Nothobranchius furzeri: one gene and its partners. The protein of the gene in region 1 interacts with the protein of each later gene in a biochemical or structural test. Links are inferred from orthologs where the notes say so. Each region holds a gene or a part of one and is shown on either strand. Other genes may lie near its edges.

Region 1 (3,656 bases):
GTGGGTTTCCTCCGGGCACTCCGGTTCCCCTCACAGATCACAACATCCCCTATAGGTTATAAATTGTACGTTGCTAAGGATAAAAGTGTCTGCCAAATAAATAAACATAGCAATGAAACAGGGTCATTGACTTTGCCCTGCAGGATGTGATGGTTGGTGTGGGAGTGATGTGGGGGTGAGTTTTTTAATAATAATAATAATAACAATAATAATAATAGTAATACATTGAACTTATGCAGGTACTTCTCAAAAAATTAGCATATTGTGATAAAGTTCATTATTGTCTGCAATGCACTGATAAACATTAGACTTTCATATAGTTTAGATTCATTACACACAACTGAAGTAGTTCAAGCCTTTTATTGTTTCTAATATTGATGATTTTGGCATACAGCTCATGAAAACCCAAAATTCCTCTAAAAATAGCATATTTCATCCGACCAATAAAAGAAAAGTGTTTTTAATACAAAAAAGTCAACCTTCAAATAATTATGTTCAGTTATGCACTCAATACTTGGTCGGGAGTCCTTTTGCAGAAATGACTGCTTCAGTGCGGCGTGGCATGGAGGCAATCAGCCTGTGGTACTGCTGAGGTGTTATGGAGGCCCAGGATGCTTCGATAGCAGCCTTAAGCTCATCCAGAGTGTTGGGTCTTGCGTCTCTCAACTTTCTCTTCACAATATCCCACAGAGTCTCTACGGGGTTCAGGTCAGGAGAGTTGGCAGGCCAATTGAGCCCAGTAATACCATGGTCAGTAAACCATTTACCAGTGGTTTTGGCACTGTGAGCAGGTGCCAGGTCATGCTGAAAAATGAAATCTTCATCTCCATAAAGCTTTTCAGCAGATGGAAGCATGAAGTGCTCCAAAATCTCCTGATAGCTGCTGCATTGACCCTGCCCTTGATAAAACACAGTGGACCAACACCAGCAGCTGACATGGCACCCCAGACCATCACTGACTGTGGGTACTTGACACTGGACTTCAGGCATGTTGGCATTTCCCTCTGCCCAGTCTTCCTCCAGACTCTGGCACCTTGATTTCAGAAAGACATGCAAAATTTGCTTTCATCCGAAAAAAGTACTTTGGACCACTGAGCAACAGTCCAGTGTTGCTTCTCTGTAGCCCAGGTCAGGTGCTTCTGCTGCTGTTTCTGGTTCAAAAGTGGCTAGACCTGGGGAATGCGGCACCTGTAGCCCATTTCCTGCACACGCCTGTACACGGTGGCTCTGGATGTTTCTACTCCAGACTCCATCCACTGCTTCCGCAGGTCCCCCAAGGACTGGAATCGGTCCTTGTCCACAATCTTCCTCAGGATCCGGTCACCTCTTCTCGTTGTGCAGCGCTTTCTGCCACACTTTTTCCTTCCCACAGACTTCCCACTGAGGTGCCTTGATACAGCACTCTGGGAACAGCCTATTCATTCAGAAATTTCTTTCTGTGTCTTACCCTCTTCCTTGAGGGTGTCAATGATGGCCTTCTGGACAGCAGTCAGGTCGGCAGTCTTACCCATGATTGTGGTTTTGAGTAATGAACCAGGCTGGGAGTTTTTAAAAGCCTCTGGAATCTTTTGCAGGTGTTTAGAGTTAATTAGTTGATTCAGATGATTAGGTTAATAGCTCGTTTAGAGAACCTTTTCATGATATGCTAATTTTTTATATAGGAATTTTGGGTTTTCATGAGCTTTATGCCAAAATCATCAATATTAGAAACAATAAAAGGCTTGAACTAATTCAGTTGTGTGTAATGAACCTAATATATATGAAAGTCTCATGTTTATCAGTACATTACAGAAAATAATGAACTTTATCACAATATGCACATTTTTTGAGAAGGACCTGTATAACGTAACTGAATTGGAGGCCAAAAAGTGGTATAGATATAAAACACCCTACCAAGGCCAGACTGAGCTGACCCAAGTGTAAATGGGCTCATGTGATCAGAACTGACAAAAGAACCATATGATTAAATACAAAGACTAATGTGAAAGTGACCGGATGTGTTTCTCCCTCCAAGGGCCTGGCCAAGGTGTTTGCTGGGATGTCTGATGGCCTGGTGGCGGTGTTCAACCTGGTGGATGACCTTCCTCTGGAGGGGGAGACCTACTTGTGTTCACACTCCTTGAATAAAACAGTATTTGGTCTGAAGGACTCGGATCTGAGACAACGACCATTTCCAGTCAGAAGCATGGCTCTGGTCAGCAGTGGCTCGCAGGTGAGCAGAGCCATGATTTCGGCCAGTGAGCAGGCCTCTAGTCAGCGCCAAAGGGTTTTTTAATTCATTCAAAAGGAATCAAAATAAAATCAAAGCAAAAAATATATAAAAAAGGGAAGAGAAAGATCTCATATTACTTGCCCTTTGTTAACAAATTAAATAGCAGCATTACAAAATGAGTCAAGCTTGGCGGCTTCGGCTGTCGGGGGGGGGGTCACACGCTCTGTCCCGCAGCACTCCTCTGTGAGAGTGAGGGGGTTGCACACGTCCACTGCTGTTTCTCACCAGTGTCAGCTGATGGAGGGCTCTAGTTTCATTGCGCCGTTCGTGTCATCGGACACGGTAGGGTTGGGGAGGGGGGCGGGACATGACGCTTAGCCTGGCGGGTGGCCAAGCAAAGCCTGGTGGGCTGCCAGGCTTATAAAGCGCTGGGGGAAACCCTGAATACTGACTTACCTTGAAACTCTAGTTTTCTTGTTAAGGTCGTTACTTTAATGTACACCATATGCACTAATACACAGTTCCTTGGTTTTGGTTCTAAATGTAGTTTTCGTTACTTTCATATTCTACCTGCTTACTTGAATGTCAAACATCTGAACGTTGCTGTGTTGCTTGGGTCTGTGTCTTTACTAGTTATGGTTCTCCAACGGTCCCGGATTGCTGGTTGTTGACTCTCTGAGTCTTCAGGCCATTCGAAGGCTGGAACCATACAAACCTCCATCCTCTATCGTCAGTATAGCAACCAGCTTCTGTTTGTGGGGAGAAGAAGCAGTCTGGACCTTGGATGACCACACCAACACCCTGCTGCTGTTCCACGCTGCATCTTACCAGCTCTGTGCTACATACTAGTGAGTAGACCACGACTCAAGGACCATCCATACTTTTGTGTGCTGATTATTAAAAATACTAGCAGATAAAGTGAAAAATAAAAGCCACATCTTTGCTTCTTGGGATTTCCTGAATCATATGGTGGCTGATCTTCTTTATGTGCTGGAATCTTCTTCTTCCGGCACTCGAAGAGTGCAGTCCCTTCTCGTCTCTCCTCCCTTATCTTTTCCCAAGGCTCTTGTCCTGTCTGTCTACAGAGCGCTTCTCTGCATTTCTCCTGAAAGTTAAAATTTTATTGAATTACGGATTAGGTCAAATGGTCATTCAACGCGACTGACAAGTTTTTCAGCAATGAGAACAGAGCTGGGGGCTCCAGCTTGTCCAGATAGAACACACCCAGTGGGGTACATTTTGGAGTTCTGGAAGGTGTGGAATATTACATGCCTTTCCCAGCTGTCCGTGGACATTGAAGACGCACGGTTTTTTGGATTTATGTTAACTGGATTTCTTCTGATTGGAGGGGGAGGATTTCTGGTATTTTGGAAAATTAGGAAGTCGGAGTGCCACCAAACCCACAGATAGTCTCAGCTGTGTAGAGACTGCTCAGGCTGGCATT
Region 2 (2,940 bases), on another chromosome or scaffold:
GGAGGTTTTCTTATTTGGGCAGGGAGGAGGAGGAGGAGGAGGCTGGGGGTGTAGGGTGCAGACACTGAGGCACTCTATCAGAGGGTTAATGTTGTCAGTCCTCGCAGAAATAAATATGTCTATAAAAGGACAGGCTCCCCTCCTGCTGGTGCCCCCCCCCCACCCCACCCCCCCCCACACACACACACACACTAAACCACCACCACCTCACCCAGAGCGTTTTCTCTTATTCTTCAACAGTCGACCTGAGTTTTTAAGGCGACGCTCTTGGCTTGTCGTCGGGCCTCGGTTCTTCAAAGCTCCGTCTGCACCACCTTCTCTCCTAAGATCCACTCACACTATAATTCCTGACTTTATCTCTCTCTGAACCTCTGTAACCCCCTCCCCGGTGTAGCTCCTTCTGTCTGGGCATGCCTGAGCAGTAGCTCGCTCTAAAGACAGGCTGCCCTCCTCTGATCCGTCCAAAGTCCCCTTCTCCTCCAATCTGCCGTCCAGCTGTTCCACATTAGCACTTCCAGAGATGTGAGGAGGCCAAGAAAGTCTCTGGTGTGCGAATGTGAGCGTGAAAATGGTTTTTATTCCTTGAGGGATTCAGTGGGTTTTGTTTAAAGAAGACAAAACAGGTGTTTTAAATCTGTTCTCTATAAAATTGGACATTTTTCTTAAAAATGTTGATATTTTACCGTTTTGTCTCTGATTTCAGAAAAGAGCCCCTTTGCTGAACATCTCCATCTCTGGACTGATGCAGGGATTATTTTCAGAGTCCTGTATAAGCATCCTGGTTCTGAGAATGTAACTCCATCTCCTCCCTTGGGGAACCGCAGCATTCAGACCCTGCAGAAGCATTTCTGAGCTTCCTGTCCTGCACATTTGAGAATCCTGCACAGGAACAGCATGCCAGCAAAAGCACCCATTTACCTGAAACCCACCAACAGTAAAAAGGGGAAAAAGTGTCGGCTGAGAGACATTCTGTCCCCTGACATGATCAGCCCGCCGCTGGGAGACTTTCGCCACACCATCCACATCGGCAGAGGCGGAGAGAGAGATGCCTTTGGAGACATGTCCTTCCTTCAGGGGAAGTACGAGCTTCTACCAGGAAAGGGAAATGCCAACCCACAGTTTGGCGTCCAATCGGAGATTCTGCGAGCAAACAGCACAGGTGACGCTTCCTTTGCTGAGACGCCCTCTCCCGTACTTAAAAATGCCATCTCACTCCCGACTATCGGTGGCTGCCAGGCTCTCACCCTTCCTCTGATCTCCTCCGCCATTTTCCCAATGCCCCCCATGGAGGACATCATGGGACCTTCTTCTCTTTTGAAAGCTGAAGTAGTTGAGGAGGTTGAAATCCTGCAGGTTGATGCTCTGCTGCACTCCTTGGACGTCTTCGACAGCGAGCCTTCGTCTCCATTTACAGACATCCACTCGAAGCCTGACGTCCTCTTAGATCTGCTGGAAAACGCGCACAAGTCCAAGGCTGTCGCCAAGGCCAACAAGTTAAACCAGAGTGAAAGAAGATTCGATCAGCCTTCGTCATATTTCATCAACGGCCACACCAGCAGCTTCTGTAAGGCCAACGGAAGCGTGAACAGCAACACGAGCAGCGACAGCTACGACAGCTTCACCGGTAAAGGGGACTTCCAGAGTGAGCGCAGTAACGGCAGCCGGAGTTTCAACGGAGACGGCACCCACAACGGTTACGGATGCTTCAACGATGACATGTCCCCGAGCTTCAAAACAGAGCTCTCCAAGTGCAATAAAGACTGGGTGGACAGGGACAGCGGGGTGGAAGAGGGACGCATGAGTGACTTTGAGTTTGAGTTTTCCAAGGAAAAGAGTGCATCTCAGGATTCCCTCGCCCACATCACGGGGTCATTCCTCTCCCTGGAGCTGGATCTTGGCCCATCCATCCTGGATGATGTGCTCAACATAATGGACAAAACCGCAGCGAAGAGCAGGCCTTAAGCTGCGCCGGGGCCTCCCGGACCAGAGAGGGAATCAGTACAATAATAGCCAGGAGGGGGGAGAGACTCACAAGTAATCAAAATGGTGTCTGGATATATCATTGAGATGAATATCAGCTGATACAGACAAGGCTGCTTATGTTTTTATTCTTAAAACTTCTAACTGTTCTAGCTTCTGTGGAGTCTTCTTTTGGTTTGTCATGCCTGCAGCATGTTCAGGATGCATGAGCTTTAGTGTTACAGATCAATCACAGCCATCGTGCCTTTCATTTTTAATTAGCTACATGATAGATTGGTGCTCTTGTGTTGACCTCCACTGAATAAACAACTTCACAGACTCCAGCCTTCACGACGTTGCATTTTTTGACTTTCAGAGTGGGCCTGACACATGATTCATTGGGCAACAGCAGAACACCATGCATAAATGTTTTCTTCGAAGCTATAAAAAAAAAACAAAATTTCTTTCATTTCTTTGCATTTTTTATGGACATAAGTCAGGATTAGGAGGTGTTTTTAAGTTTTCTAGTAACAAAAATCCACCGAGAGTACTATTCTGGACTCGGACCCAAGTCACGTTTAAAGGCCAAGTTCACTGAGAAACTAACGGTTTTTACTTGTTATTTTTGCGATACGAGTTTGCCCTGCAGACTAAACGTGAAAATAGTCTCCTACACCTATCTCCTGCATTAGCCGCTGATAGATTATAGACGGTGAAACTCTAGGATTAGAGAACGTTCATGGACTCGCCCATCTCGACTCACAACGGGGAAGGATGTTGTCGGTTTATCGCCCAGGAAACAGCAGAGAACGTCTCAGCTAGAATTGGAATGTTTATTATGTGAAGTGCCTTGAGGCGACTCTTGTCGTGATTTAGCGCTATATAAATAAACTTAAGTTTAACTTGAAATGAATAGAAGAAGCTAACTGTTAGCATTAGCAACTCCACCACACAGCAGAACTCCTCCAGGCTTGTGTTATG
Region 3 (3,756 bases), on another chromosome or scaffold:
TTGTTGAACTATTTACATAAAAGGATTAGGGCCACTGAAGAAGAAGTTCTTTTTCTCTTTTCTGAGGGAAAAATAATCAGAATTCTGAGGTTAAGGTTAGACGTCTCATAAATATTTACACCATTTTGTTCCTATTAGATTTTGAGTTTAGGAAGAAAACTTTTGCCAAAAGTGTATGAATGTATTTTTTGTACCAGATATTTATATTTAGGGAAATTATTTTTAAAAAATAGATGTAAAAATCTCATGGGTACTTTAAAGCAGCAACCTGGAGTTTCCCCCCTTCCAAGAATTATTTATGATTTTCTTTTAATCCATAAAAGCCTGTACTGTGATAACCAAGGCAATACATCTTTTTGAAATTTTCTTGGCGATTTTTGGGGGAGGTTGAAATCACGGCTCCCCCAAAAGGGTAATCAGCTCCCCCGGAAGCCATCAAACGACATACACATGGGGAGCTCGAAAAGAAGATTGGACGGAGAGGTGATCAGAGGGAAGACGAGCCCAGACTGATGCAGAGTTGGTAACATTTCTTATGGACAAGTAAGTCTTTAAAATATACATGATAAACAGCACAACATGACTGTTCATAAAAAGGCCATAATCATGGAAACTGAGAGGCCTAGGGGTGTAATGCAGTTTTCACCTCTAGATGACAGGTGTCACTGCGTTGTGGGAATTCAGTTCAATTAATCCATAACAAAAGGCTGCTTAAATCTCACTTTTTCTATTATATCTATGATTATTATAAAGTAAAAGCCATTCTGGAAGGTCCACTGTGGCTCCAGAGTTGCGGGTTGCAGACCACCACAGGCTTTCATCTGTAGTCTGGAGTGAAAATGAATTATATATATATATATAGGCCTGGATAAGTTTATCAGAATAACTTGATTACTTTACCAATCTGCCTAATAAAAATTATGCCCAAATAAATCAAGACACATTACTTAAAACTGCAAAGTGAGTTGGAACATTATAGGTCTTTTATTTCCGTGGACCTGGAGGAGCTTGCTCACGGACCTCTGCTGGTCCACGCTCCTTACGATTGGGAGCTCCAGCTCTGGTCTCCTCGGGAACTTTCTGCCGGAGTGAAGGAAGTCCATGTTAGGAAATGTTCCCCCCATGGGGCGCTGCTGCTGCCTGCCTCAGTCCGAGGATTTACACCCAGCTGGACGGCTCGGAGGGACACACACTGGATTTTGCGCTCACCGAGGGAAAGCACTGTAGCCATCATCTTCGTCTTCATTATGGCTCAAGCGAAAATACAAGCGAAAATGAACGAAGCTGCCCTCTGCAGCAAGTTCAGCAGGACGCTTTCTATGGCAGACCGCTCGGGGCGACTCCTGGAAAGTTTGGATCAGCTGGAAACGAGGTAACAGGCCCTTGTTGTACCATGTGTGCTACGGAGCCGCTATTTGCCCCGGCCGCTAACATTTATTGGCATAAACCTTTTATAAACACTGTAAACAGGGCAATGTGACAATAAATGTTTTTCATAACAAACATAACTGGTTTGCAGCGTGTTATTTCATATGCTGTCTCTCTTTCTGTGTCAGAGTGGAGGCTTTACGAGAAGCAGCATCTGCCATGGAGCAGGAAAGGGAGTGCATCCTGGAAATGATTCAGTCCATACAGAACAGTCAAGAAATGAGGAACATCTGTGCTGGTGAAGCTGCTAACTCTCTCTTAACTTACATAAGCGCAAAAGTCACGCACGGCTTAATGCCAGGGAAGATACGCGGTTATAAAGGGGAACTAGTACGGTTAATGTATTTCTACCAGAATCCCATCTCCTCTGATCTCACCCAGACCCAGTTTGTGTGAACCAGGCTCATGTTTCACCTCTGGATCGTGTGAGTCAATAGCCTACATCTGGTTTATTGATTTGGTTCCGCTGTAAACAGACAAAAAGGCCTAACCCTTAAAGCTCATTATTTAAATCCAGAGTCTGACCAGGGTAGACCGTCTAGTCATGTTGGTTTATGCTCCATTAAACCTCATTAATGTAAGTTAGTATGATTCACACGAGCTCCATGGTTCACCTAGAAACTCCTCTCAACTGGTCAGGGATTTGAAAGAAGGGCTTTATGTAAAGGTGCATTATGTAAGACTGACATCCTGTGGTCAAATTTGGTTACTGCAGACCACATTTGTAAGCAAAAGTCACTGCCGTGAGTGTCAATCAAAATCAAATCAAAGATACTTTATTAATCCCAGAGGGAAATTAGAGTTTCAGTACACACAATTCAGAGATCAGACATACATGGGCAAGACATATGACAAGAATTGGTGACTGTGGTCATTCGCAACCCTGAGTCGTGCTAATTGAGATCAGAGGGTTACATGAGGATTGGTTCAGGTGGAGGGAAAAAAAGGCACTTCAGAGTTACCCTCCACTGGGAAGGCAGCTTTGCTATGCAAAAAAAAAAAAAACACCCACCTCCGACAGAGATGCAACAGACTTCAGGCATTACACAATATAAGTGTCCACTAGGTGGGGAGGTGGGTTGGGATTATCCCTACTTCAGTTCCTGCAGCCACGATAGATTCTCATGGCGCAAAAGGGCCTGTTACAGATCAGCACCAGAAGATTCTAGATGACAAGAAAAGATGAGTTATAACCTAATCTTTGAATAAAATTTGCAAACATAACCGAACATTCTGTCCGTTAAACACTAGGCAGTCCGGCTCCGACTTTGCTTCCTGTTCAACTACTCTAAGCCAAGAATGCGCAATACATCCACAAATACGGGTATGCGCATACAGCGGAGGGACTGTCAGAGGGGAGTTTGATGGATGGATCATGATTCAGTCATTAAGAACGGGATTGCATGTTTCAGAGGAAATGAAAATTATTAGTTTTTCGACAAAGCATTTACTTTATTGGTTGCTGTACGATGTGATGACCATAACAAGCAATATGGCAAAAAATGCTCCAGAGAAACATCGTCCATCCCAATAAAAAATATGTTTGGAAATGTTATTGCATTCATTTCTTCCAATTAATATCAGTGGTATTTTGGTGTCAGCTTGTTATTATTGACAAGTTGGCAGAATCATGGAGAACATCATGAATATTGCTTAACAGGTTTCAGTGGGGGCAGTATTATGGTGTGGGGTGGGATCTCAGACAAATCAGAGCTTGTACTCATTGAAATAAACTTTTAGAAATATGAAATGACTATTGATGTGCTGTTACAGCCGCATTAAAAGCAGTTTCTTTCCTATAAAGATTTAGTAATATGTTTACATGTCTTCTAGGTGAGAGGGAAGAGTTATCTTTGACTGCGAACCGTCTGATGGGCCGAACGTTGTCTGTGGAGATCTCTGTTGGCACAATCAGAAACCCCCAACAGGAGGATGCACTACTCAAGGCCACGTCTATGATAGACGAGATTGTGAAAAAGCTGCTGAGCGACATGGAAGGTGGCCGTCAGCAGCTGCTGGCCCTGCACGCTGCCTGCGTCACGGAGGCACCGCTCGTCCCTATTGACCAGAAGTTTCAGACCGTGGTGATCAGCTGCGCTCTGGAGGACCAGAAGAAGATAAAGCGAAGGCTGGAGACTCTGCTGAGGAACGTTGAAAATGCCGAAAAGAACATCAAGATAATGGATCACCAAAAACTGGAGGGCACAAAAGCTAACGGGGGTCACTGAGACCCTTTGCCGAGGTGTCTTGAATTCCACTAACCTCACAGAAAGCTATAGTTAGCTTTTACACATTTAATTAATTTCAGATGGACTCTGCTTGAAGCAG

Evidence for each region.
Region 2: the proteins of lrrk1 (region 1) and cdc42ep3 form a complex in vitro, tested with the Homo sapiens proteins (2 studies listed by BioGRID and IntAct, with this or other methods). The link is inferred for Nothobranchius furzeri from reciprocal best matches to the Homo sapiens genes LRRK1 and CDC42EP3.
Region 3: the proteins of lrrk1 (region 1) and bag2 form a complex in vitro, tested with the Homo sapiens proteins (2 studies listed by BioGRID and IntAct, with this or other methods). The link is inferred for Nothobranchius furzeri from reciprocal best matches to the Homo sapiens genes LRRK1 and BAG2.

The regions. Positions count from the first base shown.
Region 1 is NC_091749.1:7,384,522-7,388,177, forward strand, and holds part of lrrk1 (leucine-rich repeat serine/threonine-protein kinase 1), read left to right. Parts: intron 1-2,014; coding exon 2,015-2,212; intron 2,213-2,845; coding exon 2,846-3,060; intron 3,061-3,656.
Region 2 is NC_091752.1:7,954,225-7,957,164, forward strand, and holds the end of cdc42ep3 (cdc42 effector protein 3), read left to right. Parts: intron 1-703; 5' UTR 704-894; coding exon 895-1,962; 3' UTR 1,963-2,299; downstream 2,300-2,940.
Region 3 is NC_091752.1:19,643,897-19,647,652, reverse strand, and holds the start of bag2 (BAG family molecular chaperone regulator 2), read left to right. Parts: upstream 1-993; 5' UTR 994-1,247; coding exon 1,248-1,372; intron 1,373-1,556; coding exon 1,557-1,666; intron 1,667-3,261; coding exon 3,262-3,656; 3' UTR 3,657-3,756. UniProt on the Homo sapiens protein: Co-chaperone for HSP70 and HSC70 chaperone proteins. Acts as a nucleotide-exchange factor (NEF) promoting the release of ADP from the HSP70 and HSC70 proteins thereby triggering client/substrate protein release.